2 linked regions of the Bombyx mori genome follow. The protein of the gene in region 1 binds, or shares a complex with, the protein of each later gene. Links are inferred from orthologs where the notes say so. Each region holds a gene or a part of one and is shown in the gene's direction. Other genes may lie near its edges.

Region 1 (3,942 bases):
GATCGATGAAACACATCAACACCAGATCACTTTGTCTTACATTAGATAACATATTTTGTACATTTGGCTTACCAAAAATGATTATATCCGATAATGGACCTCAATTTACATCTTATGAATTTAAAGAATATTGCACAAAACAATCTATTTTACATGTCACATCATCTCCATATCATCCTCGAACAAATGGGCTGGCAGAACGTTTAGTCAGAACATTCAAAAATAGAATGGCATCGGTAGACAACACAAATCTCGAGCGCCGACTATTAGAATTTTTGTTTACATACAGAAACACTCCGCACTCGTCCACTGGTAAATCTCCAGCTGAGATGATGTTTGGACGACAATTGAATTGCATACTTTCCAACATTCGGCCAGACAAAAGAAGATTAATGCAGTATTTACAAGTAAAAGAAAACATTCGTACCACATCACCGAGTTACCGACCAAGTGACCAAGTATATATTAAAACACGCAATGATAAAATATGGGAACCAGCGGTAATTACATCCCGTAAACATAAATATTCATATATTGTTTCAACACCAGGAGGACTAGAAAAACGAAGACACGCTGATCACATCAGGCCACGCGAGTCCTCCACCTCAGAAACCCCGAGGAATGAAAGGGCGCATTCTTCTATGCTGCCGGCGACTGCTTCTCCAGACATTGGAATGGACACAACAATTGACGAAAGGCTAACTAAAAACAAGAATTCGGCAGCAGTACCATTACCTACACCGCAGTCACCTACAAATGTACAAATTTCTCCAAATTCACCTTCACAGCATTCGAAGTTATACTCCTCACCTGCTCCGGTCTCCACTCCTGTGCCATTTGCTCCGCGTCGAAGTAATCGACGTATACAGGCACCCCGCCGTCTGATCAACGAGATGTAGATGGGGAGGAATGTTGTAACCTTCTTTTTCATATTCCATTATTTGAAATATACTTCGAACACATTGTCATTTTTACCATCTATCATTATTATATTTTATGCTATGTCTTGAAAACATTGTTTTATTATATCTTGCCCTTGCCATCGATCCTAATGAAAATGGGAGTACCACAGCACCTCATATGACTATACAAAAACAGACACCAAATGTAATTTTTTTTGGGTGGAACCCAAAAGGTCTAAGTCACAAAATAAAGCATGTAGGTAGTGAAAAATATTTTTACTTCAAGGCTCATAATTAAAGTGTATTTTACACTGAAGTATGAAACCTAGTATTTTATATGTTCAAGACTTCGATCATCAATAGTTACTATTGTTGATCGAAGGTTCAAGACATTGGCAGCACTGTTATCTGATTTTGCAGTAGACGCGAATCAAATGGCAAATGTTGTGCAAAAGGAGAGTTGCATGATATTAATTAAATATATTAATGCATAAACGGTTTCTCGGATAAAACCCAAATGCACATAATTTACTTTTGTACATAAAATTAACGTTTACCTAGAAATAATTTCTATAATCGCTGTAATATAAATAATAACTTCGTAAATACGTTTTGTTTATTACAAATTTAATTGCATTTGATACTATTTCATTATTTTTAACTGTTAAAAATGGTATATTATGTCGTGAATTATATTTAAAGGAAACGAAATAGTAACTGTAAGTTTAAAAACCAAATAAATCAACTCTAAGATAAACTAACCTACGCACTTAAAAACGTTTATTGGGTGCTATGTAGTAAACTAACTGTTGCTTAGATACGCCATTCTGATCCTCGAAGATAAATAAATAAGGTCATAATTAACGAGTTCTAAAACTAAATTGTGTTCCATATTTAAAAACCTTGAGCAGAGATACGATTCAGAACTCTGCTTACTGAATATTTGAGACAATAACAACCTAACCCAGACCCAGAATATCTTATGTTTTCGATCAGGTTTGAAAATCACCCCCAGAGTACAGTAGTTGCAGTGATTAGTTATTAGATCCACTACTAAATTCACACAATACTAGATAATTAAATCCATATTATTTTTATTTCGTTGAAAGTGTTTTTTTTTGTTATTCTTTCATGCTAAAAGAAAGATTAAGATCACGTTTGACATGATTTTATTTAAATTGATTGTATTAAAAGAGTAACATAGCGCTCATTTTTATTCAAAAAAACATCTCATTCTCTGGGGAATCTGTGTCATTATCTTTAGAAAACTTGTCACATTTCCTTGGCCATACAGGCAAATCTGCTGGTAACAATTATATATTCTTTTTATCTACAATAAAACAAAATTTTTGAGACCAATTGTGTACTTTAATATAATATGATGTTTGTCATTACATTTGAAGACAATACATGTATACTGCAAATTACCAACTGTAATTTCAGATGGTGGAGCCATCAATTTACAAGTTTACCACAGCTGAAGGGGGTGCTCGTCTCGCTGCAATTGCATCTGAACGTAACACCCTTGCTGTGGAATACTCAAATTTCATTGCAACCAGGCTGGTCTATGAAGAAGCTTATAAGATACGAGGGTGAGTGTATTATTTGTGTTGTGGAATTAATGTTGTCTTGGCTCTGTCAAATTCTGCTAAAAATATTTAAATACGTGATTGTTGTTCTAGTGTTTTTAATACAGAGTGTGTCAAGGTCAAAATGAAATCAAGGTGAAATTTTAATGGGTGCCCAGGCTCAGACTATGTGAGGAGGATTGGTATTCAGACTGGCTCTCTACTGTAAATGTGCTCTAGTTTCGGTGTTGAGATGCTCATCCAATATCCAATGATGATGTCATTCTTGTTCCACTGTTTGCTTCCAATTTATTTCTTTCACAAAGTAGTAATAATTCCTTCTTCCTTTCATTTTGAAAGGCTTGTCAAATGAGCCATTAAATTAACCATCTGAGAAATCAATAAACAGTTAAATGCCTCATTTACAATATTCCCAGGTCGCTCTATGATAATAAGCAGAGATCAGTGCACGTGACAAGAGAGGATCGTATAAAATGCACCGCCTACGATCTGAGGATTATGACCGACTTGTCGTTGTGTGAGGCTGAGAAATACGATGATGTGTATGATTGGTACGCGGAACTTGATAAGAAAGAAGTAAGTACTGTCCAAATATTTTGAAGTGATAACTTCTTATGGGAGGGTAAACCGCATCATTGCGTAACGCGTTGTGGTGCCAATCAATCTTTCTTTTTCTCTCATGCATATGGCAGCGGTAGTGAGAACATATAAAACTCTTAACTACCTATTTATATAACTTTTTCAATTTATGTTATAACTAGTCTTACATAGGCATTCCTCAAGTTAAACAATTTCAATATTAAATAGTTCAACTTAGATTTGTTTAAATTATCACAATTTTTTTTTTAATATGTTGACTTGTGAACAAGCTCATGGTCCACTTGCTGAAGTAGTTACCGGATGACCTACTTTGAGACATGAAGTCGCAGTCTCAGTTGTATGGTATAAAAGCTGCCTCATCCTTCAATTGGAGTGCATGACTACTTCTTGGCAGAAAGAGCTAGGGTGGTGGCCTGTGTTAATGTTGACTGCCAGCACTTAATGTTGAGTGCAGGGGAGTCATTTAGTGCGGTAGGGGTGGCCTGTGTTGTTTTACACAGTCCATAGAATACTTTTAATGAATGGAAGTCACAGTACTCTGGTATATAATATACTGAATAATATAAGAATAATATGAGAATGCTGCTATGCCCATTTTCTGGCCAATTCTGGTCAATTTTCCATAGTCATGATGCTTAGGAAGAGTTAAAAAAGTGAAGTAACTTTAAAAACATAATATGCTTTTATATTATAATTCTATTTCAGGTTTTGGTCTGCACTTCAGTAGTTTTAAAACGAATTCTAGAAGAGGGAATAATATCAATGGCGAATATTAATGTTCTAATAATTGATAGCTGTCATTTAATAGTGACCGACGAGAATTTGAAATATGTAAGTGAAGTTTAAAATAT
Region 2 (2,605 bases), on another chromosome or scaffold:
AACAATTTTAGTGGTGCTGTAGTACCTACATTTGAAGATAAACTAATGGGTAATCCTGTTGGATGGCTTCAGGAGTTGTGTATGTCACGATTCTGGCCACCACCATCTTACCATGCTGAAAACGATGACAATGTTAATAGACGTAAGTTTTCGTACTAATTTTACTTAGGTACTTACTTTAGCAAGGGCTTTTTATTTATTAGCTTAAGTGACTTTTTTTTAAAGTTAGACATTCAACCATAATTTTGAGAAAAAAATAAATTATATGCACTATTCTTCTGAGTCTTCTTGTAGTCATTTGGTTGTCCATTATATTATTATGTTATGTTGTATATTATTTAAGGAAACTATAAAATGATATAATATAATAGAAGTTGTACATTTCTATTACTTTATTTGTAATATTTGATAACAACTAACACTGTATACTTAAGTATATTTAGATCTAAATAAATAGAAAAGAAATATATTTTTTACATTAATATAATTTTACATATTAATAAATCATTGATAATTGATAGTAAAATTTATGTGAAACATAAGAATGTGGGTCTACAATACTACAAAAATTGTAGCAGTTTCAGGTTTGCCCCATGAACGTCAATTTACGATCATTTGCACATTGCTCAAGCGCCGTGAAGTTGGTACAGGCAAGTCAAAGAAATTAGCTAAACGGCAAGCTGCCTACAAGATGTGGCAGGCCTTACAGGACAACCCACCAGAATCCTTCCAGAATGATGATGAGGTAAAGTAATATTAATTTTACTACTATATCGCATAAACTCACTTCAATATAGGATATAAGGGAGCTGTTTCCGATGCTGAAATGGAACTGCTTGATTAAGGGCTTGTATTCACAATTTGATGACATTGATAACACAACTAAAACTAAAAAGTTTTTTTTTTTTTTTTATTGCTTCTATGAGTGGACGAGCTCACAGCCCACCTGGTGTTAAGTGATTACTGGAGCCCATAGACATCTACAACGTGAATGCGCCACCCACCTTGAAACATAAGTTCTAAGGTCTCAGGTATAGTTACAACGGTTGCCCCGCCCTTCAAACCGAAACGCATTACTGCTTCACGGCAGAAATAAGCAGGGTAGTGGTACAAACCCGCGCGGACTCAAGGTCTAATATTACTCAGGAACTTTAAAAGTAACTTCAGAGTACTAGGTGATTTGCCTGTTAGACTTGTAACTCCGAATGCATATGTTAAAGTTCATATTTCATGTTCTCTGTCTGATTCAACCATATTGAGGCTAGATAAGTTTTATTAATAATAAAAGTATATGAGCCAGACTGGCAATAGCAGTTTGTTTTTTTACTAGTAAAATTGGTATTTGTATGTATGAAAAAAGAGGAATAATTTATAGTCAGTTAAAAAAAATTGTGAAGCCAGAGTGTAATATAATGCCTTGTGTATCAACAGAATAATTACCTGAAAATTAATTACAATTATTTGATAAGTTGTCTTGGTGTTGTTTGAATGTACTTACCATCAACAGTTTATTTCAATTATTATAAATAATTAACTTCATGTAATAGTTGTCAATATCCATCAATTGATTTTTGGAACATTCCCCTAAAATTGTTATTGTTGTTCGCACTTGGCCAGGTATTTTACTATCTTTCGATTAGGTTACAGGCCTGAAACAACAGAAGAGTCGGTTGACAATAAAAGTTTTTTTTTTATGTTATAGGGCGGTGTTGCGGCCCGTTATGCCGATTTGAAAGATAGTAAAATCTCCACATTGACCACGAGCCATAGCCATAAAGTGTCGCAGTTCCACAAACATCTCAAACAGTCTGTTGGCCCCAACCTGGCCAAGTTGCAGGTATGAAACAGTTGTTTTGCATGAAAGTATCAATTTTTGGCATGAATGTTGTCATTTGAAATATTAATTTATTTAATTATAAAACAGGTGACACCACTAAACAATAAGGATTTTAACTTCGTTCAGTTCTTGCAAGAAATAGCATCAGAGCAATCTTTTGAGGTGACCTATGTCGACATAGAAGAAAAGTCTATGACTGGTCTATGTCAGTGTCTTGTCCAGCTTTCCACATTGCCAGTAGCTGTATGCCACGGAGCCGGCCTCACCAGCAAGGATGCCCAGTCATCTGCTGCTCAGAACGCCTTGGAGTATCTCAAGATTATGACCAAAAAGTGAAATTTTCAACATCTTACGACATCAGCAAAGACCAGTGCGACGACCTATGCATTTGATCTATGGGCTCTAACGTTATGAGATTTAATTTTAATGCAGGCCATATCACTATGTGTTTTGTATTGATGTCGTTAGGTTTTGAGCCTTCATATTGTTGCATCACTTTCCATATGAATAATGGCATTAATAGTACGCATCTATGTACCAATAGTACTTTGGGCTATGCTTTATAACTGGCATGTTTGCAGTAACCAACTTGTTTTTTTTTTTTTGGTTAATTTATGGTAGGCAGTTTGAAACTTATAGCTAAGATAAGTGAACGAGCTCACGGCCAATCTTGTGTTAAGGAGTTACTGGAGCCTATATACTTCACTGAGATACTATTTTCAACTCTGTTATTGTTCCCCCGTTTCAAGAGATAATTTTCGCGATAGC

The links.
Region 2: the proteins of endoribonuclease Dcr-1 (region 1) and Loqs are in contact, whole or in part, in a cryo-EM structure (PDB 8DGJ), measured with the Drosophila melanogaster proteins. The link is inferred for Bombyx mori from reciprocal best matches to the Drosophila melanogaster genes Dcr-1 and loqs. Residues at the interface, in NP_524453.1 of Drosophila melanogaster: His245, Phe248, Asp251, His252, Arg253, Asp255, Glu258, Ile259, His303, Tyr306, Gln307, Glu310, Lys311, Lys313, Arg320, Leu323, Cys326, Leu327, Ser329, Thr330, Ile333, Gln334, Tyr336, Ser337, Leu338, Glu340, His341; in NP_609646.1 of Drosophila melanogaster: Thr358, Gln359, His360, Ser361, Lys363, Val364, Phe367, His368, Lys372, Ile414, Glu415, Glu416, Lys417, Thr418, Phe419, Gln422, Gln424, Pro433, Val434, Gly435, Val436, His438, Ser440, Asn454, Tyr458, Ile461, Met462, Lys464, Lys465.

What each region holds. Positions count from the first base shown.
Region 1 is NC_085117.1:4,311,830-4,315,771, forward strand, and holds the start of endoribonuclease Dcr-1, read left to right. Parts: upstream 1-1,276; 5' UTR 1,277-1,898; intron 1,899-2,345; coding exon 2,346-2,494; intron 2,495-2,907; coding exon 2,908-3,067; intron 3,068-3,796; coding exon 3,797-3,922; intron 3,923-3,942. UniProt on the Drosophila melanogaster protein: Endoribonuclease which functions in microRNA- (miRNA) gene silencing and, independently of its ribonuclease III activity, also acts in the short interfering RNA- (siRNA) gene silencing pathway.
Region 2 is NC_085114.1:6,389,715-6,392,319, reverse strand, and holds part of Loqs (loquacious), read left to right. Parts: intron 1-11; coding exon 12-142; exon of another isoform or gene 143-457; intron 458-575; coding exon 576-745; intron 746-1,702; coding exon 1,703-1,837; intron 1,838-1,924; coding exon 1,925-2,173; 3' UTR 2,174-2,605.